7 linked regions of the Ovis aries genome follow. The protein of the gene in region 2 interacts with the protein of the main gene of each other region in a pairwise test. Links are inferred from orthologs where the notes say so. Each region holds a gene or a part of one and is shown on either strand. Other genes may lie near its edges. The genes, in order: KANSL1, CDC5L, PDE4DIP, ZNF451, GSE1, WWC1 and KALRN.

Evidence for each region.
Region 1: the proteins of CDC5L (region 2) and KANSL1 interact in binary tests that used the Homo sapiens proteins (3 or more experiments, as listed by UniProt). The link is inferred for Ovis aries from reciprocal best matches to the Homo sapiens genes CDC5L and KANSL1.
Region 3: the proteins of CDC5L (region 2) and PDE4DIP interact in a two-hybrid assay, tested with the Homo sapiens proteins (2 studies listed by BioGRID and IntAct). The link is inferred for Ovis aries from reciprocal best matches to the Homo sapiens genes CDC5L and PDE4DIP.
Region 4: the proteins of CDC5L (region 2) and ZNF451 interact in a two-hybrid assay, tested with the Homo sapiens proteins (2 studies listed by BioGRID and IntAct). The link is inferred for Ovis aries from reciprocal best matches to the Homo sapiens genes CDC5L and ZNF451.
Region 5: the proteins of CDC5L (region 2) and GSE1 interact in a two-hybrid assay, tested with the Homo sapiens proteins (2 studies listed by BioGRID and IntAct). The link is inferred for Ovis aries from reciprocal best matches to the Homo sapiens genes CDC5L and GSE1.
Region 6: the proteins of CDC5L (region 2) and WWC1 interact in a two-hybrid assay, tested with the Homo sapiens proteins (2 studies listed by BioGRID and IntAct). The link is inferred for Ovis aries from reciprocal best matches to the Homo sapiens genes CDC5L and WWC1.
Region 7: the proteins of CDC5L (region 2) and KALRN interact in a two-hybrid assay, tested with the Homo sapiens proteins (2 studies listed by BioGRID and IntAct). The link is inferred for Ovis aries from reciprocal best matches to the Homo sapiens genes CDC5L and KALRN.

The regions. Positions count from the first base shown.
Region 1 is NC_056064.1:45,751,585-45,755,084, forward strand, and holds part of KANSL1 (KAT8 regulatory NSL complex subunit 1), read right to left. Parts: intron 395-3,500; coding exon 273-394; intron 1-272. UniProt on the Homo sapiens protein: Non-catalytic component of the NSL histone acetyltransferase complex, a multiprotein complex that mediates histone H4 acetylation at 'Lys-5'- and 'Lys-8' (H4K5ac and H4K8ac) at transcription start sites and promotes transcription initiation.
Region 2 is NC_056073.1:17,846,706-17,850,953, forward strand, and holds the start of CDC5L (cell division cycle 5-like protein), read left to right. Parts: upstream 1-1,448; 5' UTR 1,449-1,562; coding exon 1,563-1,607; intron 1,608-3,929; coding exon 3,930-4,033; intron 4,034-4,248.
Region 3 is NC_056054.1:97,805,843-97,809,342, forward strand, and holds part of PDE4DIP (myomegalin), read left to right. Parts: coding exon 1-266; intron 267-1,396; coding exon 1,397-1,589; intron 1,590-2,697; coding exon 2,698-2,817; intron 2,818-3,500. UniProt on the Homo sapiens protein: Functions as an anchor sequestering components of the cAMP-dependent pathway to Golgi and/or centrosomes.
Region 4 is NC_056073.1:3,223,477-3,226,976, reverse strand, and holds part of ZNF451 (E3 SUMO-protein ligase ZNF451), read left to right. Parts: intron 1-1,036; coding exon 1,037-1,167; intron 1,168-2,021; coding exon 2,022-2,208; intron 2,209-3,500. UniProt on the Homo sapiens protein: E3 SUMO-protein ligase; has a preference for SUMO2 and SUMO3 and facilitates UBE2I/UBC9-mediated sumoylation of target proteins. Plays a role in protein SUMO2 modification in response to stress caused by DNA damage and by proteasome inhibitors (in vitro).
Region 5 is NC_056067.1:11,187,734-11,190,668, reverse strand, and holds part of GSE1 (genetic suppressor element 1), read right to left. Parts: intron 1,966-2,935; coding exon 1,862-1,965; intron 1,339-1,861; coding exon 1,204-1,338; 3' UTR 1-1,203.
Region 6 is NC_056058.1:78,035,658-78,039,157, reverse strand, and holds part of WWC1 (protein KIBRA), read right to left. Parts: intron 1,296-3,500; coding exon 1,187-1,295; intron 848-1,186; coding exon 767-847; intron 117-766; coding exon 30-116; intron 1-29. UniProt on the Homo sapiens protein: Regulator of the Hippo signaling pathway, also known as the Salvador-Warts-Hippo (SWH) pathway.
Region 7 is NC_056054.1:189,285,798-189,289,900, reverse strand, and holds the start of KALRN (kalirin), read right to left. Parts: upstream 2,801-4,103; 5' UTR 2,469-2,800; coding exon 2,396-2,468; intron 1-2,395. UniProt on the Homo sapiens protein: Promotes the exchange of GDP by GTP. Activates specific Rho GTPase family members, thereby inducing various signaling mechanisms that regulate neuronal shape, growth, and plasticity, through their effects on the actin cytoskeleton.

The sequences.
Region 1 (3,500 bases), on a different chromosome or scaffold from region 2:
ATGTGGAATCTTGCTTTGATGCTGACAACAAATTCAGTATTTTAAAACACATTTGTATGCATCAAACAAAACATGTCTATAGCCAGTTTGTGGCCTGTGGTCTGGCTGACACACATATAATGAAGAAAATTATATATAGAAATAATTTCACTCTGATCCCTTCTCTTAATGACAAAAGCCAAGGCTAGGCCCCACAACTCAGCGACTAAGGGACAGGGAAATGGCAGTAACAGGGGGACCAAAGAGCAGAGCTGGTCGTGCAGGGCTTCTACCTGGGGGTAAGGATTTCCTTGTACTGGAGCTTCTCTACACGGGTGGTTGCAGCGACAGACATTGGGATGACAATGTTGTTAATATCGAAGGAGCTCTCTCCCCTTCTCCTCCTTACTGGCTGCTGTAAGACAAAGGCAAGTTTAAAAGGGAGGAACAATTCTACATACATCAAATCCTAAACCTGAGATTTAAGACAGGATCACCAATAACCAGGCATCTGGGTCCCTGGGGAGCACCCAAGCAGGGATGACAGCAACTGCCTGCACTGTGGGGATGGTCTCCCACCAGCAATGAGCTTAGGAGAAATAGCAGGTGGGGCCTGAGGAGGACCTTCCCTTCACAAGTCTCACTGGCCACCCTCTTTATTCATGTGCTCACATGAAAGGAGACCTCTACTCAGTTTCACAGAGGGTATCCTGGCGCCTTGAGACAACTGCCACAGTTTAGACTCCTCCATACATCTTTAACAACACCCCCCAAAACCTCCTGTTTCCCCCTTTTCTCTCTATGACACAGACCCATGGTGGAAAAAGCATGCTTAAGCCTAGAGGTAACTCTCTGGACTAAAAAGATGAACTCTTCCATCCTGAAAGATGCCCCATGGGAGGCTGAGCTCAGTGGATCTGCTAACCTTGGTTACCATGAAAGCACTTCCTTCTCGCAGATCTGAACTCTCCAGCTAAATCTGTGCCCACCATCTGCTGAACCCTTATGTGATTTCCCCTTTCTGGCTACTATTCTTAGGGAAAGAGCTGAGAGCGTTCTAGCTGTATCAAAGGAGAGGAATGGAGGGAAATGGATGAAGAGGCCTTGGCTGTAGAGCTCACACTCCTGGAGAAAGGAGATTCGCTCCTACAGGAAGTTCAAATCAAACTCCTGGGAAAGAACACTTAGTTAAGGATCCAATATTAGGGAGCAGGGGCGGGGCCTTCAACAGCAGCTGGGAGACCAGAGGAGGAATTGAGCAGGGAGCCAAGGGGCACGGTTTCTTAGATGGAGGGGCAAGTCTGAGGGCTGCCTGTGCCCAGATAGCAAACACCCTGCCCTGAAACAGAGACTGGCAACTGAGCTGTGAGAGGCCAGAGGCAAACAGTGGATGACAAAGTGCTGCCATGGCAACAACACAGCTGCCAGCACCTCAGAGGCTGCGCTCAACCCAAAGCACCAGCACGGCCAGCCCAGACCCAAAGCACCAGTGCGGCCAGCCCAGAGGGAGGGGTCAGTAAGGGGCATTCAGACCCAAAGCACCAGAGTGGCCAGCCCAGAGGGAGGGGTCAGTAAGGGGTGTTCAGACCCAAACAACAAGTGTGGCCAGCCCAGAGGGAAGGGGTCAGTGAAGGGGGGTGGGGGAAGAGGCTGTTTCCCTCCATTTCCTGTTCCTGGAAGGGGGTCCATGACCAATCCATCCGATCATTTCAAGACCTTCTCAGAGAATGCTGAGAGGCAGTATTCTCTGGGCCAGGATCTTAGCAGCTGCCACCTGTGATTTCGGGTTATCACAATGTCTTTTTCACCTCGGTTTCCTCTGCTATCAATGAGAATGGACTGTCACTGACTTCACGAATTCAGGGTAACTGGCTGACCAGAACAGCTGAAGGGACTTGTGAGCCCTGCCTGGCTGAGTTTCAGTGGATTCACAACCACAGGCCTCTGCCACATGTCTGCTGAACTCACACACCCCACTGTAGGAAGTGTACAGAACCCAAAGGACCCTCAATAGACAGCTTTCCCTGGACTGTGGTCAAGAACAAGTGTGGAACTGCTGGCAGCAGCAGGTATGTATTTTCCCTGAATCTCCTTGGGCCTGCTGTCAGCAACTTCAAGGCAGGGAGACAGGAGTGGGCTGTGGGGTTCAACAGCCCCAACCCCCACCCCACATGCAGATGGCCCAATTCCAGGAGACACTGACTCGGTCTAACCTATGTTCTCTCCTGTTTAGGACCAGAGGTGGAGGGTAGGTGATGAGAATGAGAAGTGGTTTCCAAACCTGGCTGCCAGACGGTGAGGTGCAAGATGATGTTTAAAAGAGAAAAAATAGGTTCAGGGCCCCATCTCTTCTAACTATCAAATCAGAATATCCAGGGAGTCCAAGAAGAAGAAAAAAAGACCACAGAGGTGATTCTGCTGCACCCGTCGGCTCATGCAGCTTCTGCAGCAAGCATGAGCACACAGCCCATCCCCCTCCCCCCTACTCCTCTCCAGGGTCCTGTAGCTCCTCACCTTAACTATCTGGCCTATCACTCTTCCTGCTATTAAATAAATCCAGATTCTTCGAAAAAAACTGGCAACAAGAGCTCAAGGGTCAGCACAGTGGTATGTACAAAATTGATGCTCATTAGATAGTAAGTAAAAATTTCAAGTGATTCAGGCCTAAGTTTACATTTTCCAGGCATGAGAAAGCGGCATGTGAAAAATCACTTAAGTTTCACCAAGTCTTGGATCTGAGAAAAGACTTCCATCACAATTAGTCTCTGTAAAATCCTTTGTTTTTCTGAGATCCCTGCTAAAGGATACCTGGGCTTACCGCAGAGACTACACTGCTATGGAGACAAAACCTGTGGGTGTGGGAGGGGATGAAGGGGGGAGGAACAAGGTCATCTGGGAAAGACTGATTTTTAAGAGCAAAGACAGAACGACATGAATTCCCACCTGATCGCAGAGCCTAGTGAGCACATTCTGTTGGCTTTGAAGTTTCTTCATGTAAGCTCTGAAGGGGCATCAGAGCCCCTGCCTAAGTCACCTTCGCTGTGCCCCAATCCAGGCTCACTCTGTGCTGCATGACCCAAAACAGCTGACTCTGTGGCCAGACCGCTGGGTTGGAATCCGAACTGTAACCCTGACAGGTCTCCTCACCTTATGCTATTCACTTAGCCTTGGAAAGCCTCAGTTTTCCTGCCAACAAAATGGGAATCTTCTACACCACCTGCACCTTAACGGGTGTTACAGGTTGAACGCGGTAACACACCATGTACCTAGCACAGACACAGCAAACATTTACAGCAGCAGCGTTCTATTATTATCACCTCCATTATTATCAGGATGATTACTAAATAAAAGACCCTTTTGGTGGGTACAAAGCAGCTTGCAGGTATATGTGTTCAAGGAGGCACATTCTGAGGAATGAAAACATTAAAGTATTAATGTGACTGTGTGTGTGGGATGGTCGTGCAAACTGCTTTCGGGGTGGAGAGTGGTAGGTACTACAAAAGCTGATCAGGAGCCAGAGA
Region 2 (4,248 bases):
TTCGTCCCTTCCAGGACTAGCTCCAAAGAGATGTTTTTGAATGGAGAAGGAAACCAAGTGAGTTGGAATCTCAGTTTGGCAATCCCTATCTCAGTGGGTTTTTGGCCTCAACTAATTTGCCCTTCAGGGCCCTTCAGATTTATGAGGTATAAATTGTTAACTTCACTTTCCAAATCAGGATACTGAGATTCAGTATGATTATTACTCAAGCTGATGAGGGAGCCAAGATTTCAACCCCGATCAAGTTTGCTTAATACTAGCACCTATCAACAGTAGCTCTCTGCTATTAATATTAAGCCATGTAGACTGAAGTGCAATAAATGGAAAACTCTGACATGACTGTTTCTGGGACAATCTCTGATCACTTGAGCTTGCGCTTCTCGTAGTAACAGTTGCCATTTTTGTGAGCACTTCTTAGGTATCAGATACTACGATGGATTTACGATCTCATTTAACCCTTGTTAGTTGCTCAGTCCGGAGAAGGCAATGGTACCCCACTCCAGTACTCTTGCCTGGAAAATCCCATGGATGGAGGAGCGTGGTGGGCTGCAGTCCATGGGGTCGCTAAGAGTCGTACACCACTGAGCGACTTCATTTTCACTTTTCACCTTCATGCACTGGAGAAGGAAATGGCAACTCACTCCAGTATTCTTGCCTGGAGAATCCCAGTGACGGGGGAGCCTGGCGGGCTGCCGTCTATGGGGTCGCACAGAGTCGGACACGACTGAAGCGACTTAGCAGTAGCAGCAGCAATTGCTCAGTCGTCTGCCACTCTGAGACCCCATGGACTATACCCCGCCAGGCTCCTCTGTCTACGGAATTCTCCAGGCAAGAATACTGGAGTGGGTGGCCATTTCCTTCTCCAGAGGATCTTTTCCATTCAGAGATCGAAGCCGGGTTTCCCGAATTGCAGGCAGATTCTTTTACCACCTGAGCCTCCAGGGAAACCCCTATTCAATCCTTAGGAAAACCCTATGAAGTTGGCACTATTATTGTCTCTATTTTGCAGGTTAGGAAATTTAGGCTTAAATAAGCTATTGCCTCTCCCTGAATATTTTTTGAATAAATTCTTGTTCGTTAAATGCTTAATAAAGTGCTAAGTTAATAAATTATCAACGCTATTTTTAGACCAGCCGAGGTTAAACCCTACAGGAGTGACGTTCCTATTCTTTGCCACAACGTGACGTCACGACCAATCCCAGGACTACATTCCCAGCCAAGAGCCTCCGCCGACATCTCGCGAAAGCCGCGGTTTCTTCCAACCTATTTTGGGCATGCGCGCGGCTTCGAGTACCTTGGCTAGAGTGGTTTGATGATTTTCCGTCAGTCTCCCTAGAGTAGAGTTTTACCATCGAGGCACTTATTTCCTTCCAGTCACTCCAGTTCTCGCGAGACTTGCTACTCCTGCTCTTTCCCCACCCCGCCCCCGCGCTTGCGCAGAGCTCTTCAAAGCAGAAGGTCGCGCTTGGAGGAAGTGGCGGCTTTGGGTCCCGTGGCCGCCGCGCCGTTACTACTTCTCGGAAGCTCCGCTCGGCCGCTTGCCGAGACACCCCGCCGCCAAGATGCCTCGAATTATGATTAAGGGGGGCGTGTGGAGGAATACCGAGGTAAGTCCCCTTTTCCCGCCGTCTGCCCTCCGCCCCTCCGGCTGCGGGTGCGCACGCGCGCAGAGGTCCGGGAGGTGGAGAGGATGCCTTCGGGGTCTGCGTGGGGGGTGGTGCGGGGCCTTTACCCTGTGCCTGGACCTCAGTTATCTGAGCATCTCAAGGACAGGGACCGTGATTTAACCGCTTGATTACCTGCGGGGCACTCGTTAGGCCCTCAGTGAACATTTGTTGAGCTGACGCGTCCTCCGCCGTGGTGGAACTCACAGTAGGAGGGGGACACAGGACAATTGCGATAGTCGGTCTTCTAAGCCCCGCCCCCCGCACCCCACCGTTCCTCATCCCAGGCTCCGCGACTCTTTGCTGTTGAAAAATGAAGAGGTGCTGTGGCCACAACTTTGTTCTTTCCTTGAGTTCCTTGCTGAGGGGAAGCAGTTTGAGTGCCAGGTCCTAAGTACCTGGTTGTGTCCGCGTCCCCGCGGTCATGTTACCACGGCGTAACTTGTCCGCCCTCCGGTCACCCAAGGCCTGTCTCTTCCGCTTCATGTTGGGTAGAAGCCAGATAGGCCTACCATAGTCTCTTTGCTTCCAGAAATGTAGTGGATCGTGCCATTGGTGAACCAAAGAACAGTAGAAGAGTAAAATAGAAACAAGGTTTTAGTGCAGTTTCTGTTTATAGTGCCCTGAACTTGTCAGTTTCCCCAGAACACTCTGTCTTTTTACATCTTGCACCTTCTTGAAATATCCTCCTACTGCTTGGCATCTTTCTGACCTTCCTTCAAAAACAGTTCAGAAACTCTTCTGAAATTGGTCCAGAAGACCCATCCATTTGCCTGGTCATCCGGTAAAAAGTATTTGCACCTGCAATGGTCCCTGGACACCTCTTCTCATCCATTTGTTATGGTTTGCTTTTTTTTTTTTTTTGCAAGCATCACATCCTGTTTGATGCTGGGATTATTAACCTCTCAGAGACTCAGGTTTCTAATGGGGATGATAATAATATACTTATCTCTCGGAATTAAATGAGTCACTGCATTTGGAATATTTAGAACAGAGTCTGGCACATAGTAATCTTTCAGAAAGTACTACCTGCTGTTTCTTTTCCCCAGTAGACAGCACTGCAAGTGCGCAGGATCAGATCTTGCTATCTTTAGAACTCCGGACAGTGCCAAACAAAGTTTGCTTGGGAAATTTTGCTGAATGGATCTAGTAGGGTGTATAACTGTAGTATATACTTAGTTGAAGATGTGATTAAGTATAGCAGTACTGCAACAAAGTTACAAATTAAGTCAGTGAGAACCTTGCCTCTCAGCTTGCACAGAGGGGACCAGGCTGTTTCAGTTGGAGAAGAGATGACTTCTGAGGGAGAGACAGATGTACCAAATCAAGTAACAGCAGGATTCTGATGCTGTGGCCAAAGCCCTGCAGTCCTTGAGTCTCAGATGTTAGGGGTGTGGAGTGGCGAGGAGTGGCTAACATATGAGGCATATAGCTCAAGTTCATTGTGGGGAAAAAACCCTAAAAGTAAAATGCCCTGAGTGCATTCATCTATGGCTCTGATATCCCTGGTGTCTTTGGTTTAGCCTGACAGGCTCCCTTGGGATTGGTGAATTCTTTATTGGAATGGGTGCCCTGGTGAAATAGTATCTAGAGACTGGGGGGAAATTAGAGGCAGAGTTGATTGGTGACTTAGGGGAGACGTACTCAATTCTTAGGTTAGACCTGAGATATGGATTCTTAGGTGAGAGTGGGGGCTGTGGGACTGGAGAGAAAATGCTGTTCATAAACTGGGAAGCCTCAATTGGAAATTGGATTCACTTGAGTCTTGACTTTTTGAGGGCTGGATGTGTCCTGTTTTATCTTGTTTTCTCAAGTATTGATATACAAGACCTGATACAAGGCTGGTGTTTGGGCAGTATTTTTTGTGAATCAGTAAATCAATGAGCCATAATCTTTTTAAGAGACTAACAACCACACATTGGAGAATTCTTTTTAAAATCTCTGTCAAGTGGGGTTTCTCACATTGGGCTGTACCCACTCAATTTTTGGATGGGATTGGGGGAGGGGTTGTGTGTAAGGGAGGGTAGGATATCCTTCTAAGGGAGTTCTTAATTTCTTTCATTTTGTTGATTCTGGGTTGCTGTTTTTTTTTAAATTTTTATTATTGTAATGAAGTTTTATACTTTTGTTTTAAATTTAGGATATACGTGCGTGTTTATATCTCTTTCTCCCTAGTACAACCCAGTTAGAGTTAATTTAAATCTTGTCTTTTCTCACTTGGAGTTTTGTGAATGAATACATTGTTTTTCCTTTGAAAAAATTTAGGATGAAATTCTGAAAGCAGCGGTGATGAAATATGGGAAAAACCAGTGGTCTAGGATTGCCTCACTGCTGCATAGAAAGTCAGCAAAGCAGTGCAAAGCCAGATGGTATGTATCAGCTAATGAGTGGAAAACACAAAATGACCTTCATTATGATGAGGAAAATGTCATTTCTTTGAACCTTACCAAAGAAAAGCAGGCACTGTGATGTAACAGAAAGTAGGGAGTGGGAGTTGGGAATTTCAGTGTGAGAATTAGCTGTCTTTTGCTTCGTAAGTGGTCTTAGGCAAGCCATTTTCTGTCCCCTCTCTCCTGCCATTGTT
Region 3 (3,500 bases), on a different chromosome or scaffold from region 2:
GAAAGGTCCAGGGAAAACTGAAGAATGCCCGTAATATCATCAGCCTCCTCAAAGAACAGCTGGTGCTGAGCAGCAAGGAAGGGACTAGTAAGCTTAATCCTGAGCTCCTTGTGCACCTGGCCCAGGAGATCAACAGAATGAACACAGAGCTGGCTCACTCTCCTGGAAAGCGCCAATGCCTAGAAGGGGAGGGTGTGACCACAAGGCCGTGCCCCAGACCCCGGAGCCTTGACCTTGGGGCTGCCCTCACAGTGGATGCTCACCAAGTAAGTGTGGGGTTAGATGAAAAGCCCTTGGATAAAGGCTGGCAATGTCCGTTTTTACCTTAAACTGTTCTGCCCCGTGGGTCAGGAGGTACCATAGGAAGGGCACCTTTGCACCACAAGTAGTGGTAATAATGTTCCTCTAACATCCAGCCTTTAGAAAGGTTTCTTCTACAATATTATCTCATGAATATTACATGAGTAATTAACTTTCATAAATATTTGAATGCTTAATTTTCCAGGCAAGACACTAGGCACTGGAAACAGCCAATAAGACTTCATCTCTGCCCTTCAGATATTCAGCATGGTGGGAAAAGATGGCACAAAACCAGATCATTTCCATAGGATGCAATATAGAGCTACACGGGGCTTTAAGGCAGCCAGTCAGTGGTGTGTAATGACATCTCTTACCTATCACTGCTGTGTACTTCACAGCTCAGCACAGGGGTCTGCTCCTGAGCCTCAGAGGAACTGTCAGGATTCTCTAAGGGGAGGGGGCTGAGCTGCTACTGCTGCTGCTGCTAAGTCGCTTCAGTTGTGTCCAACTCTTTGCGACCCCAGAGACGGCAGCCCACCAGGCTCCCCCGTCCCTGGGATCCTCCAGGCAAGAACACTAGACTGGGTTGCCATTTCCTTCTCCAGTGCATGAAAGTGAAAAGTGAAAGTGAAGTCGGCTCAGTCCTGTCCTACTCTTCATGACCCCATGGACTGCAGCCTACCAGGCTCCTCTGCCCATGGGATTTTCCCGGCAGGAGTACTGGAGTGGGGTGCCATTGCCTGCTGGGGATTAAGTAAAATGGATAGAAGAGGACCGAGAGAACAACTGGGTAGGAATGCAGGGAGAGATGAGTGGAGGTTTCCACCCCTTCTCTTTTCAACCACGAACAAACATTTGCTGAGGGTTCCTCACAGACTCAGGTGGCACTGTGCTGTGTGCTGTAGCAACAGAGATAAATAAAACATCACCCCAGCTCTCCAGGTGCTCAGTCTGGAAAGCAAGTAGCTGCCAAGTGGAATGAGGAGTGTTACGACAGACACACGGATGAAGTACACAGAGTTCGCAAGGCGAAGTGGCTGCCACTGCCTGGGGAGGAGCTCAGATGGCCCTGACTCTGTGCTGGCTCTTTTCACAGCTGGATAACCAGCCCCAGACCCATGACCCTGGGCCACAGTCAGAATTTCGCCTCTCGGGATCCACGAAGCACCTGCGCTCCCAGTTGGCACAATGCAAACAACGCTATCAGGATCTCCAGGAGAAGCTGCTGATATCAGAAGCCACTGTCTTTGCCCAGGCCAACCAGCTGGAGAAATACAGAGTCATGTTTAGTAAGTCTTAAGTTCACCACCACCTGTCTTCTCCCTGAGAAGCTCATGCTTTGCAGACTTCACTCTTCTTTCCCAGTCTCATGGCCAATTTAATCCTGACTATGACCTTAGCATTGTGGAAGTGGATTGTTGTTGTTACCTAGTCGCTAAATCGTGTCCAACTCTTTTACAACCCCATGGATTGTAGCCTGCCAGGCTTTTCTGTGCTTGGGATTTCCCAGGCAAGGATACTGGAGTGTGTTGCCATTTCCTTCTCCAGGGGATCTCCCTGACCCAGGGCTCGAATCCACATCTCCTTTGGCAGGTGGATTCTTCACTGAGCCACCAGGGAAGCCCATGGAAGTGGATACTCAACTTCAATCTGCAGATGGCAGAAACAAATGAATGAATAAAGCAAGTTTGCAGTGACAGCATAGGGAGGGAATGAGCTAACGTCTAGCTTCACTGATTTCTGGTACAGTCAACAGACCGCCTTACCGCTCTCAACATATGTTGATTGTTTCTCTTCTGCTCCTCTTTGCACCACAGTAGACTCTTCAAAAATGTACCATTGTTGTTGGTCTAGAATCAGTGCTTTCTCGTAGAACTTCTGCAGTGACATAAATGTTCTGTATCTACGTCACATGTGGTTATGGAGAACATGAAATGTAGCTAATTCAATTTGGGGATTTAAAGTTTTATTTAATTTTTATCAGTTTAACATAAAACAGTCACGTTTATAACACTTACAGAACAGTGCAGATCTTGGTGTCTTTGAAACTGAGTTAGTTCTGCTCCATTCAAACATTTCCTGAGCCCCCATGAACAAAGCATTTGCTAATTTCCCTGGGGCGTGTAGAGTTGATAGTATGCAGTGTCTGACTTAAACATGTCTGGTCCCAGGGAAGCCCAGGTTATCTGTAGGTAAGCTCACCAATGGGGAACAAGCTCACCTGGTTGAGAGAGGTCCTGCTGCCTGGAGCAGGTGTTTCTTCTCCCACCTCAGTCCAAAGAAGCATCTATCCCACTCTGGGTCTGACCTCCCCAAGGGCCAGGGTGCGTGCTGCTGAGGATGAGAGTGTATGTGGGAAATTTAGATCCTCTGTAGCACGCCCTGTCTGTTCCCAAGCAGGTGGATCATCAGTGAAGCAGGACAGCAAGCAGGTGCAGGTGGACCTCCAGGACCTGGGCTATGAGACCTGTGGCCGAAGTGAGAACGAGGCTGAGCGGGAGGAGAGCACCAGCCCTGGTGAGAGCTTGGGTGTGGGGCTGGCCCTCCCCCACTAAGGGCAGCCTTCACATTTGGGTACTGCTGGCCAATCCCACATCTGATGAGGAGCAGGGCTGAGGGGTGCAGTAGGCTGAAGGGGACACAGGACAGAGGGGGACAGAAAGTTTGGAGAACTCATGCCCAAAATGAGGCTGAGTGTGAGTTTGAATTTCTACAATTAGTTTTCAACATGCTACCTGTTTAAAAAACAATTTCAGTGTGAACTTTAAAAAAAAAGTTCTATCCAACTGATTATTTTAGAAAAAATACTGTGTGTGTGATAGTTGCTCAGTTGTATCTGACTCTGTGACCTCATGGACTGCAGCCTGCCAGGCTCCTCTGTCCATGGAATTCTCCAGGCAAGAATACTGGAGCGGGTTGCCATTCCCTTCTCAAGAGGATCTTCCCAACCCAGGGATCAAACCCAGTCTCCTGCATTGCAGGCAGATTCTTTACCATCTGAACCACCAGAAAAAAAAAAAAAAACTAAACTAAAGTCTATTTATTAATGAGAAGATCAAATGAGCTTTGAGTGAGTCAGTGAAAGTTGCTCAGTCATGTTCAACTCTTTGAGACCCCATGGACTATACAGTCCATGGAATTTTCTAGGCCAGAATACTAGAAAGGGTAGCCTTTTCCTTCTCCAGGGGATCTTCCCAACC
Region 4 (3,500 bases), about 15 Mb from region 2:
TTGCCCATGGTAGTAGATATAATGGTCATCATATGATGGTCATCTAGCTACAGGCCTGCCTTTAAGCCTGTCTAGTCTTTGGGTATTCCTTTCTCACTGAGCTCAATCATTGCCAGCTTTTGGTTTAATTTGAGAAACTGAGACCCTTCATTTCACTAGAACACTTAGAGGCCACTGTGGGGTTATTAATGGGCCTTCAATATTGTGTCTCAAGGAGTAGGGTGCCCAGGAGGGCAGAAAGGCAGCAAAGGGCAAGTTGGCGGAGCGATCAGAATGTACAGAACATTTATTAGTTAAGTTTGCTGTCTTGTATGGGCATGGTTTGTGGTGCACCCAAGCGATTACAGTGGTAACATCAGTGATCACCATAACAATATAATAATGATGGAAAAGTGTGAAATACCATGGATATCATCGAAATGTGACCGCAGGTTAGCAAATGCTGTTGGATCAGCGACATTGATAAGCTCAGTCAAGGCGAAGTTGCCACGGACCTTCAGTTGGTAATAAAAGAAAACAGTACTAAAGCACAGCACAGTGGAATATGGTGCATTTGCCACGTTTGATAGGAAACCGTATACAAAGAAGAGGATTAGGATTTAAGATAGAAACCCACTGACCTGGATGAGGCTTTTAGTGAGTCCAGCTTTCCTGATTGACCACTCTTTTAATTCAGCGAGCAGCCTTAACATACTTGTAAAAAATCCACTAATGCATACATTCATGTAGAACGACACCAAAGAATTTCACACACATTACTGTGGTTCTGCTGAACGTCTCTGTGAGTCTTCTGCTTACTAGTCAGGTTTGGAGCAGTTGTCTACTTTCCTGAGGTTTCAGCAGCACCCTGTGCTGGAACTGCCTATTCTGCCTTCTACTCTGGTACTTTTTTTCTAGAAACATTTTTATCCTAGTATTTGTTTTTCCTTATAGAGTTTTTAGATATATCTGTTCTTCTGTTCTGGCTTCTTTTGTTTGACTCCTCGTTTGTGCCTGTTGTAAACAACAGTGTTGTTTATTGTTCTAAACACGACAGGGGGAAACACCAACTGGAAGCCCCCGGCCCACTGTAAGGTCTACAACTACCTGAACCGCATCGGCTGCTTCTTCCTGCATCCTCGCTGCAGCAAGAGAAAAGATGCTGCCGACTTTGCCATATGTATGCATGTGAGTCATTGCTTTATTCAGAATCTTCTGTGACTCTAGGACCCCTTTGATGAATTTTCCCACTTAAATCGTAATGACACTGTAGATTCCTTTCTAGTGCTGTGTCTTTGGTATAAAACCTTTTGCATCAAGTTCTACTTAAGACTGTTGGGAGCAGGAACGTGTAGCACGTGTTTACTGCTTCATCCCCAGTCTAGCCAGCTCTCGGCTGTGCATGGTAGAACCGTAACTGTGTGTAGAATAGATGATCAGGCGGTGTCACTCTCTGACGCATGAGGCGCTTCCACATTTAACATCTCTGAAATGAGCAGGCCCTGTGACAGTCACTGTTGGCCCAGGTGAAATCTGCATTTGCTTCTGTCTCAGCTAGTTGCCTGGAGAAACGACCCACTTGAGACCCAGTTTAAATTAAATTTTCTGCTTAAGCTTTTCTGTGTCACACTGATAACATGAATTTACTCTGTAGACTTGTTGATTGCTGCTTATATTTTAAACCACAAGATAATTTCTTTTTCCATCTAGCCAGTTTTAAGGTTGAGCTTGCTTGCTTTACTGTGACTTTGCTTACTTTAGCCCTGTTACTACTGTTCCACCTTTATATGGGGGCCTCCTCTTTTTTTCTTTCTCTCTTAGTGGCACATTAAACAGTTTATCTTAAAATTGACAGCACTTTACATTTTTAAAATATGGTATTAATATATTTTATTTATGAATGAGATCTTTATATCATACTTTAGTGGGAGCAAGGGGACATGCGAAATACACCTTTCTAGGTAGGCGTTCATTCTGAAACAGCTGTAACTTGATTGGAAGCACAGATGCTGATTTGACGTGTGTCATTTGTTCCAACTTAGGCTGGCCGTCTAGATGAACAGCTGCCCAAGCAGATTCCTTTCACCATCCTCTCAGGAGATCAAGGTTTTCTGGAGCTAGAGAATCAGTTTAAGAAGACTCAGAGGCCAGCACATATACTCAACCCTCACCACTTAGAGGGAGATATGATGTGTGCCTTGTTAAATAGCATATCTGACACCACCAAAGGTATGCAGCTGCAGCCTCGGGGCAAACCGCCCAAAAGGAGGAGACTTCACTGCTGAGAGAAGCCAATAAACTGCTGCCCACTCTCGCCCTGCGCCTGCTTACTAAACTGCCCCGCGCTCATGCTTGTTGTGTTTCATTCCTTATCTGCTTTCATTTTGAGTGTATTAGAAGGAGGATGAATTCGTGATTTTCTGGAGCCCTTTTTCGTCTGAAGGATAAAATTTATATTCGTGTATTTAATGGTTTGAAATATGCTATTAGAGTCTTGTAAAGCTCAGAATCTGGATCTTCATTTTGTTTTGGAAATTCTAGATTTATCTTCAGTTTTTCAGAAAGCAAAGTGCTTATAGAAGAAACCAGAAAGCAGTAAATATGGCAATACCACCCCCCCCCCCCAAAAAAAAAGGCATTTAGGAGGTTGACAGTGACAGAACGAAGCCCTGAGTGATTTTTATTACCTTGAAGGACTAGGAGCCCCTGTCCTGCACTCTCTCTGCCTTTCTGAGATTGTTCAGTGAATGGGCATGCTGGTGGCCAGTTTAACTAACCAATATTTAGGAAAGGGTATAATTCTAGGGACCCAGATGGTTTTGTTTTTGTTTTTTTAATTTCTGAAGTAAATGTGGGTAGGAGAGAATAAAAGAATAGTTTTTAAATATCCTAATAAGTTGCAGCCATGAAAAGAGTTTAAAGATATTGATGAATGACTTCAATGAGAAACTGACTACTTCTTGGAATGTTTATTATTTACCTTTACATTTCCCAAGTATGCCCTCCTCTTTGCTAATTTCTTCATTTCATATATGTAGAGCCACATTTTGATTGAAGATCTGTTCTGAAGAACTTTGCTCTGGTCACTCATTGCAGTGGATAAATTCAAAGTTAGGAACCACTGAGCTGCTGGCACGCTCGTGCTCTTTAAAGGAAAGTCGACTCTATTTTGCTTATTTATGTCATATTGTAGTACTGAATGTTATCTTCCTATTCTGTAGTTTTTGTTTTCATTCACTTGCTTTTTCTGTTTGTGGCTTTTTTTTTCCTTTTCTTTCTTTAAAAAAAAATTTTTAATTAAAATTTTTATTGGCATATAGTTGATTTATAATGTTGTGTTAGTTTTCAGGTGTACAGCCAAGTGAGTCAGTTATGCATATACCTGTAAACCCTCTTTTTTAGATTCTTTTCCCATATAGGGCATTACTGAGTATTGAGTAGAATTCCCTGTGTTGGTAACTTTTTTTAACCACTTTTTCTTCCATTCTTTTATCATCCCTTCCCCGATCCTTAAAAACATC
Region 5 (2,935 bases), on a different chromosome or scaffold from region 2:
TGGTTCCTGCTGGAGACCAGCAGCGCCTCGCTGGCCTGGGGAGCCGGGGAGGGCCCGGGGGAGAGGGAAGGAGGAACCATGGCTTTCTACCTCACTCCGGTGCAACTCAAGAATGAAGTGCTCGCGTAGGCGCCAGTGGTAAGCTCTTTTTACTTTTCTTCTTCTTTAATTTTTAAAAACACTTCAATAATGTCCTGACCAGCAGCAGTACAAACACTAAAAGCAAGGGTTGTTTTTTTTTTTTTTTGCCCAGAAAAACAAAACAAAAAACCCCCAAACAAGAAAACAAACAACAAAAAATCCCCCCAAACCACATATTAAAAATGGCAGGCTTTTTATAACAATAATTAAAGTAATAAAAACATACAAAACTTTGTTTTTTAATATATATACACAGTACAAGGCTGAAGCACCTTTGACTTTTCTCTCAAAATTGACATTTGTATGAAAACACCCCCGCCCCCCCTGCAGTAACAATCGGGTGGGTGTGGATAAATGTACATAGAGCTCTGGACATTTTCCCCCACGAAGGAATAACAAGGTACCTTCAGTCTGTCGATTCACTTTAGGTAAGAGCTTTTCTGGGGAAAAGCCTTTGGGTGAGGCTTCAGTACTGTTGCTTTGTGTGCTCCTAGGACCTGTTGCTTTCAGGAAAACTTTGCAGAAAAATAACTGAAACAAATAAGCCCTTTACTTAGAATGCACCCCACCTTCCTTCTGCTGGAGCGGGTCTCCATCCTGGGGAGGAGCGAGACCGGCCACCCCACGGCCAGAGCAGCCCGGGTTCCTGAGGCCACAGGGCCTGGCAGCACACGACACGCACACCGGTGGCCCGCTCCGCCTCATGCACCCAGGGGCTGGGAGATGGGCACAGCTTAGTGTTGGTAATGGAGCCTTCATCTTGAGACTAAAGCATGACGACGTGGGGAAGGGAAAAACCGCCTTTAAAAGGGAAGAAACTATGGGCGTCTTAAACGGGTTGCTTGCTGAGTTACAAAGGTGATCCAACTGCACTGAAGTCAAGGCGAGTTCGTTCTTTTTTTCTGGAGCCTGGAATCCTTTGCTTCATGCATGGCACATTCTCTCTTTTTTTTTTTTTTTTTTTTAAGCGTCAAACCTCCCAGTGAAAAATATTAAATATTCAAGGTAATAAAATAGATAATATTTCTATACTATAGGTTCGGCCTAGTGCAAGGGAAACCGTCACCTCGGGAAACCCTTGAAGTAGCCTCTAGGCCAATGCATTGCAGGCAACGCAAGGCACTTCCGTAAGTGGTCCAGTTCCGCCTGGAGCCGCTCCCGTTCTGAAACGATCTTCTGCTTCTGGCTCCTCAGCTCCTGGAGGGAGACTGGTGTCAGACCCGCAGTTCACACAGTTAGGAAGGCTGTGGGATGCGCTCTAGCTGCCCCCAGCATCTCCCAGTGGCAGCACCTGCCACTCTCGCAGCGTCGGCCCTGGCACTGCCAAGCTTCTGCTGCGTCGGGAGTGGCCAAGGTGTCCAAGCCCCAAACACACAACAGCGGAAGATGGCAGGGCTCTCGCTGTCACGGCTGTGTGTGTGTGTGGGGTCCGTCCTGTCCCAAGAGCTCGGCCCCCTCCCTCCATCCTCCTGAGCGCGGCACGGGGGAAGGCTGATACGGGCAGTACACCCGCCCCCGACCCTTCCAGACCCATGTTCTGCGAACAGATGACACTCCCTCCTCAGGTGACTGCTGAATTTAGCCCCTCTCAAGAGCACAACTTCCCTTCAAAACTTGTCTGTATGGGTGCTCCTGAACCCAGACTCGAAAGGCTGAATGAGAATAACCACTGTGGGGTCAAGAAAGCCCCCACGGAGCCAGTACGATCCCTGAGACTCACCGCCATGCTGTGGGAGAGCTGCTCGGCCGTGAGGCTGAGACTGTAATGCTGCGCCTCCAGCCGCCTGCACTGCGCCTGCAGCACCTGCCGCTCCAGATCTTGCTCTGAAAAGACAAGCCAGGGTGACGTCTTCTGTACCCAGGGCCCCAGGCCCGGCGCGTGGCCTCTTCTCTCCAGAGCAGCTGGTCAAAGCTCTATCATTTGGACCACATGGCTCCCTCCCTATAGATCGTGCTGGTGACTAGATGTTACTAAAGTAACCCGACCCAGGGGAATAAAGACCGAGGACACAGCATTGAAAGGCAATTTAAGGGACGCAGCTTAGGAAACAGCAACAACTTACAGCCTTAAGATGCATTTTTCAAGAAAGATAAAAGGCTTAGACACAAAAACTGTTAGAAATTTATCATTTTAACAAGTAAAACCTCTGCCTTTCCGAAAGATACTGAGCTTCACATCTTCAGGAATAAATCTGTTTTAACAGTCTCTTCAATAAGTGGTGCTGAGGAAACTAGACAACTGTATATAAAAGAATGAAACAGAGCACTAACGCCACACACAAAGGCACATTCAAAATGGATAAAGACCTAAATGTAAGGCTGGTTATTATAAAAAGCCCTTAGAGAAAAACAGAGGCAGAAGAATCTTTGACATAAATTGCAACAAGCTCTTTTTTGATCCACCTCCTAAAATACTGAAAACAAAAACAAACGGTGGGACCGAATTAAAGGCTTTTGCATGGCAAAGGAAACCATAAAACAAGAAGACAACCCATAGTATAGGAGAAAGTATTTATAAAAGATGCAACCAATAAGGAATTTAATCTCCAAGATATACAAACAGCTCATGTAGCTCAATATTTTTAAAAACCAACCTAATCAAAAAATGGGTGCAGATCCCCCCCGCTTATTTTTCTTAATCTTGGGTTCCCTGACTAGGGATTGAACCCACACTTTCCTCACTGGAAAGTGGATTCTTAACCACTGGACCACCACTTCACCATCTGGGTGAACATCTAGATAGATATTTTTCCAAAGAAGACATACAGATGGCTGAAGAGATGCTCAACATCAC
Region 6 (3,500 bases), on a different chromosome or scaffold from region 2:
GATACACAGTCCATCAGCTACACACTCACACTTTCTGGTCTTGCTGCAGCAACAAAGCAGAAAGGTTGCTCAGCTGGATGATGAATATTGCAAACTGCTTATTCTTCTCATCATACCTGAAATGAAAAGGGGGCATACAGAGCACCTGTTGGTAACACATTTATTTCTCTCTCCCTTAATCATCACGGACGGAGCTGCTGACGGCTCTGGGACCGTGGTGAGCTGGAGATCACTGACCCAGTGTTTGCCACCTTGCAGGGACACAGGTCCAGAGCTGTCAGTCTGATTTTTTAAAGGGAAGCCAGAGGTTGTGTAAAATTTCCTGAGAGCTAAATGTAGGCAATGAAATCCTATTTAAAAATAATCAAGACCATTCCCCATCAAGAGATGAGCAACAACAGGAAATCTAGGCTGTAGCCCCCGAGGGGTTGACTTCAGTCCAGATGAGATGATAACAAAAAAGCTGTAGTAACGATGATGACCAAACACACCAAGAGGCAGGCGGTCTCGGTCCCTGCCCGGCTGGGCCCCTGCCCAGCTCAGTGACACCGAGCAAGGTACAGTCTTCAAACCCTGTTTTTTTCTCTTTTGTGAAATAGGGAGCTGGGAGGCATAGAAAGAGACCCCCACCTTTAGTTAGGAGCCCACAGCTGTCAGTGGGGCCTGCTGGTTCTGGAGGAGGGTAAATGCTGGACACACTGCAGAAGGGGGAGGAGGGGACCCAGTGCAGACCACACCCCTCTGCCCCGCCCTCCCTGCCACTTACTTCAGGGCGATCTGAACCCGGGTGGCACCCACTGCTTCTGATTCATCACTGTCGAAAGCAGCGGCTTCCGAGACACCCAGCCTGGAAGGCAACACAGGGAAGACAGAGAGGGTCAGGCTGGTCTGCAGTGACCTGGGGCCAAAGTCATTTTCCAGAGACAGGGTTCTCTCTGGGAGGGAGCAGCATTCTCGAGGAGGAAGGTTTGGGTCTGCTGAGCCTCCCTGTGGACCCTGCCCACAAAGACTTTAGATCCCTCTCTCAAGGGGGCTGCTCTTTCCCCAGTACTTGCTCCCTGGCCACACACCCCTTGACGGCACTCGGGGAAATCAGCAGTCTCCCAGACATGAAGTATCTCTAGGCCCCCACCCTCCTGTGAGTTCCTCCCATACGCTGGAGGGGGCCCGGGACTCAGGGACCCACCTCTGCACGGAAGCCTCATACACACCACTGTCCCCGGCCACGGATTCATCTGACACAGCAGCAGAGACACAGGCCACTTTCAGGCCACACCCCTGAGCCGTATTCACAGCTGGAGGAAGAGACGGGGGGAAGAGGCGGGCTTCAGAAATCAGGATACTGTCATCCCAACAGGTACTGTGGATCCCCTGTTGTTTTAAGATGGTCCCACCAAAATCCTACTACCTCTGACCTTTACAGCAAGGTCCTGCATGTTTTGGGGTGAAGGAAAAGGTGGCAGAGGAGTCTGTGTCTAACATCTCAGACTCCACAGGCAAACCACTGGGGTTCAAATCACACACTGCTTTGTGACACTGGGATGCTGACTTATTCCCTCTAAGCCCTGCATTCCCTATCTGTAAAATGGGGATAACACCACCTACTTTGTTGGGAGGACACAAGGAGATGACATAGGCAAATCCTTAGTATAGAGACTGGGGCAGGGGAAGTGCCCTAGAAACCCATACTGCTATCCTTAGTTACTATGACTACCATTCCCATCACTATAGTGATGCCTTCCAGATCACCTCCTACACACTTGGGACAATACCACAGAGCCTGGGCCCTTGCGGGAGGACAAGAAGGGGAAGAAGGACTCAAGCACTGGCTCTCCTACTTGCCTATCCCACCGCACTCCTAAGTCAGCTCATCTCTCCTGCCCTTGACAGAGGCCCTCTGAAGTCTCTGACCCGGGACTCAGACTCAGCACACGCTGCACATTCCTTCCCTCCCCAAGTAATCGGTGCTGACAGTGTGCCAGGGCCACTGCCAAATTCAGAGCTGCCAAGATGAATAGGACAGCTCCTGACCTCCACGCAGCACAAGGAGGACAGATTCAGGGGTTCCAACCTCAGGGCCAGCACTTCTGAGCACCTGCTGTGTGCCAGGCACATGGGTGGGGGTAGGGGTGCACTGGCTGGGCTAGGGGATGGTGACCGTGAGCTTGGCAGAGGCCAAGGGGCCATCTGGGTGTGGCTTTCCCAGACTGCATCCCACATCTGCAGCCCTGGAGCCCTCCTGCCTTCAGACCCACCCCGCTCCACCCTCCACGAAACCACTTAAGGAGATTAATTTGTCTGCTGACTGAACAGTGGCACTAATCGCATAACCTGCTTAGCGTCTGAGCTCAGCCTGGCAAGGCTTCTGGAGATGGCATGAAGAAATGCTGGCCTGGGAAGTGAGCGGTCCCTGGCTCCCAAGCTGCACTGACGCTGTAGGGTGGGGGTGGGGTAGGGTGGGGGTAGGGGTAGGGGAGGGTTCACTCCCCACACCCCACTGGAGTCCCAGCATCCCTGATCCAGCTGATCACAGCCCTTAGACAGGGAGCACTGGGAACCCTTCTTGAGCCTCATTAGAGGTTCTGCCTGCACCCCCTTCTCTCCAGGGAACAATTTTCTGAAGCTTTCCACCTGCTGCAGTAGGAAGCCTGTTTTTATTTTTGTTTGAGAGGACTCGGCAAGACTGCCTTCCTGATGAGGGAGCCCCAGGGATCTCCCGGCTCTTCTAAGGAAGTGGCTGGCATGCACCCAGCAGAGCCCTTAATTAACCAGGAAATCGTGTTGCTTCTCCCTTGCTCCCAGTGGCCCTTGTATACGAAGGAACTGATATTTCTGGGTGCTGCAGCTGCCCCCGCCCCTATTCCTGGAGCTGAGAGGGGTTGAGCTTCTGGCTGGCTTCATGGGGGTCAGAGGCAGGAGACCTTTGCTGACTAGGTGGTCCTGAGCCCAGTCCTGACTCTCCTGCCTTACCGCAGTGACACTGACCTCAGACAAGTCACTTAACCTGAGTCTCACACCTTTCAGTCTGTAAGATGAGGATAAAATCAACACCCACCTCATAGTGTCGTTTTGAGGTATACATGAATCAATATGTGCAACAGTGCCTGTACTGTACACCTGAACTCAGTAAATCATCCTGCTCAGTCCTGACTTTCATACCATATGCGAGATGGGGTCAGCGAGTGTCAGGGGTATCTTAGGAATAAATACACAGAGCTGCCTCATGTCCTAAGGGGAGCGTGGTGATAAAGAGGTTGGGCACTGGGGTCAGAAAAACCCAGATTCCAGTCCCCCCTTCCCCACATGTTGGCAAGTAATAGCACCTCTCTGAGCCTCTGTCTCCCCATCTGTGAAATAGGTATAATAGAAGGAGTCTATTTCACCATATCAAGTGCATTTCCCACCACATCAATGCACCCCAATAAATACTGACCATTATAATTTATCATGTGGTTGCTGTTACAGATGAAAATTTTTCTAATAAACCTTGGCTGTCATTA
Region 7 (4,103 bases), on a different chromosome or scaffold from region 2:
TTTCCACCAGAAAGCAGGGGGTAACCCTGGCCCCAGGGACTTTGAAAATGTGTTTGAAGCTTTCTCAGTGGTTCGACTAAATAAATTTATAATCTGTCCAACCTACCAGGTGTAGAGCACTATATTCCATAAAGATTGGGGGATCAGAAAGGAGACAGTTAAGAAATATGGTCTTTTACAGGTTTAAGAATCCCCAGGCTAGAGATTGGAAGGGAGTAAGATCAGAAAGCAGAGCACAGAGGGCCACTCAGGTGGATGGTGGTCCTAGACCCTACCACAGATAGCCTGCCTCCCCTCTTACAACTTGTTACACATTGTCAGTCATTTCCAGCCTTATCTGTTGTAGATTTCACCCTTCTCTGATTTGAAGAGCACATCAAACCTAGCCCCCACCCCCACCATAAGGCTGCCCAAGAAGGAAGAAGAATACCCCCAGCAGGATTCCACAGGAGACAGTCCCCAGTCAGTTATTTACTCTGTGATTTTAGCCAGAGCTAGACAATGTAAGCCCCATGTTGTATTTTGAAAGGCCCTGGGAAAAGTAACACATTGGACCATTATAGGTCATTAACACCATTAACACTGTGTGAATTCATTTGTCAGAAATTAGCAAGCCTCCAGAAACTTGAGATCTGCTCCAAGTGCCTGGGAGGAGAACGGATAGGAACTACTGTTTGGATGGTAGAAAATGGGAAGGAGGAATGGATGCCAAAAGATAAAAGTAGGTCCAGAAAGGGAAGGTCGGAAAGCTCATACTTCAGGAGTTTTCCCCAGAACTAAGGAAAGGCAGACTTTTGTGCCAGATGAGAGACAGGAGTGGGGCCAGGTGGGGGAGTCAGGGAAGACGTCCTGGTGAATGTTTCCAGATAGGCCTTAACCCCCAGAACCTCTCTCCTAGACTATAATCTAAGGTTATAAACTCAGGTCAGGCACGTTTTTAGAATTCGTGCCTTGGTTCCTGGGCAGTGCATATGTGAGTGTAAGGGTGGGGGGAGGGGGACGGGCCAGGCGGCAGTGTATATTAGAAACCACGACTGGTTAAAAGGAACAAGGAGACAAGGCTGAGCCCTGAGAAGCAGGGTAGGATAACAGGGGCTCCTGTTTTCTCCAGGCTCTGGCATCAGCTCCTGTCCTCCACCTCTTTACTCTTCAGACCAACTAGAAAATGAACATATGGGTCGACCAACTCTTGACTTCTAAAGCCACAAGTCTCCCCAACAAAGCACCCCACCCCTTCCCCTCAGATGACCTCCAGGGCAGGGCAATGAGGTTAGGAAACAGATGGGTGTGCAGGGAGCCTCCAGAGCTAACCTGTTCCCTGACCCCACCAGTTCACGCGCTTTAACCCAATTTACAGAAAGAGGGGGTCCCCATAACTTACTGGACTCTTTGGGACAAAGATTCCAGACAAAATGGTTCCAGATATGGAAGATGGGGAGCTCTACCTACTGAGTTGGTGGAAGCCACAGGTAAAGAGGAGATGGAGAAACCCTGGTTATCAGAGAAACAGGGCCACAGGTGGTGGGAGAGGAGAGTGGTCGGCATCTGCTCTGGGAAAAGGGCTGTGCAGGCAAGGAACCTGCGACTCAGACCCAGGACTGGGTGGTGGCGGGGGCAAAGAACAACCGTGAAAGCAGGTCTGGCGGGGGAGCTCTACATACCACAGGCAAGCAAAGATTCAGTGGGTGTGTATGAGGGGGACGCTAACTCACACGTCCAGAATGAGTGATTTTTATCAAAAGCTCCTGCGTTCCCATCACTGAAGAAGAGGAGGACAAGGACGAGGTCCTAGGCGCCCACCGCCTTCCCAGCCAAGTCCGCCTCTTAAGTCTGAGACGCCCGGCTCCTCACACACATCAGGCTCCGCGGTCCACCGTCCGCCCCGCTCCTGACTGTCAGGCTGCAGCCTGCGCGACTCCCGGTCCTTCTTTGCATATCAGGGCCCGGGGCCCGTGGCCCGGAGCAGGGGTGCGGGCGCGGGGCGGCCAGAGCCAGGCTGACAGGCGCTAGGGGGAGGGGGAGCCGAGGGAGGGGCGGGGGCGCCGGGAGCGAGAGCGGCGCGCTGCAAAGTGATCCAACCTCGCCCCATCCCCGCGCTCGGGGAGAAGGCGGCCCACCGGGACCGCCTCCCGCCTCCCCACACAGACTCCCGCAAGTGGGGTGAACGCCGAGGGGCGCCAAGCTCCCAGCCCCCACCCCTCTCCAAAACGCAACCAGCACTGCCATAACAACAAGAATCTCGGCAACTCCGGCCCGGACGACGAGGGGGACAGCACCCCCCAACACGCCCGCCCCAGCAACAGTCTCGTTCCCCAAACTTGTCCGAGAAGCCGCGTCCAGGGCAGCAGCCCCCCACCCGCCCCACCCCCCCAAGCTCCCCAGCTGCCCAGCTTACCTGTCCGGAAAAAGGCGTCCACGTCCGAGTCGGCGGCTCCTCCTTCCTCCGCTGCCCCCTCCGGGGGGTTCATGACTGGGGGAGGGCGTCCACGGGCAGCCGGGGGGCGGCCAAGCCCGGGGCCGAGCGCTGCTCTGTGGGCGGCGGGCGCTGGGCTGCGGACACCGGGCTTCGAGGGCGGCCGGCCGGGGCGGCTGGGCTGGGGCAGAGGACGCCGAGGCTCCCTCAGGCGGAGGCGCACGGCGGGCTGGGGGCGCCTGCCGCGGGCTCCCCCATGGTCCCCCTTCCCCGGGGGGCGCTGGCCGCCTGCGGTCTGCCCGGGCCGGGGTCCGAGCTGCTTGGGCGCCCGCTCTCCCTCAGCAGCGGCAGCTGGCTCTCCTTCTCGCCCGTCCGCCTGTCTCTATTGTTCAGCCCTGCTCGGCTCTCCTCTTTATTTTTCCTCCTCCCTCCCACCCTCCCTGTCTCTCTACCTCCTCCCTCCCTCGCTCTATCGCCCGCACGCTCTCAGCCTCCCTCCCTCGCTCGCTCTCTGGCTCCCCCTCTGGCTCCCTCAGCCGCCGCCGCCTCGCAGCTCCTCCCCCGGCTCCCGCTCCTCAGTCGCGGCCAACAATGCCCGGGGCAGCGCCGAGCTCAACTGAAGCTTCGGCCCGGGCCGGGGTTCGCCGCGGGCCCCCGGCGGCGCGGACGCCTCCCTCCCCCCGCCTCCCCGCGCCGGCCTCTCCAAGGAGCCAAGCCCGGGCCCCGAGCTATTGTTCGCGGCTGTGCTAGGCCGGCTTCCTGAGCCCCGCAGGAAAAGCCCCGGCGAAGGAGGCGGCCGGGGAGGGGGCGGGGCCGCCGGGCGCGTCCTGGGCCGCCGGGCGCACGCCGGGCTTGCCGAGGGGGCTCGGACGCCTGAGCCCCGCGTGCTCAGCCTCGCCGCTAGCGCTGTTCCTACTCCCGCCCGGCGGCGGCCGCCTCCTCCACCCCACCCCGTTCTCAGGTGTATGAGCCGCGACCCCCCTCAAGCTGCCTGTCCCCCAAGATGGGCTGATCTGTCTCTAGAGGCTGGACTTTTCCCCGCTCCTTCTCGACAAGCTCCCTTCTGTCTCCTTGACCTCCTGAGCCTTTCGCATTTTCCTCACCAACTCTCCTTAGTTCCTCTGGTTTTTTGGTGTTTGGTTTTTTTTTTTTAAAGCTTTTCTCTTCCTTCCCCCCTCTTTTCAGCGCCCCTGTAAACACCTCTGCCTGTCTCGGTGACTCTTTGTCCAGTTCATTTCTCTCGCGATGTGCCCCTGCCTATCTTTCCCTCCGTGACCCTCTTCTGTCTCCCATTTGTCTCTGTCCTGCCTCGGTACTTGGCCAGTGTCTCAACGCTCCTCTTGGACAGCTGTCAAACTCCCTAATCCCCGAGGCCTTCTCTGTTTTGTTCTTCTGCCTCGTGTGAATGGAGAGATCCAGTTGGCCAGGAGAAAGGAGGTGTTACAGCAAGCTGAATTTCAATTAAAGTGGGGAGAGGGACAGGAGAGGAATGGGGAAGACCTCAAAAAAGAAAACAGATGCTGTATGGGGTAATTAATGCAGTGATTGTATTGTGCCAATTGGTTTTTAAGCAATAATTAAACAATAATTAGCCAGTATTCTGTTTATAGTCCTAGTGACTGCAAAGCTTACAAAACAGAGGCTCTTTAGACCTGAGTACTTAATGTGGTGTGTTGGAGGCTGTTGTTGC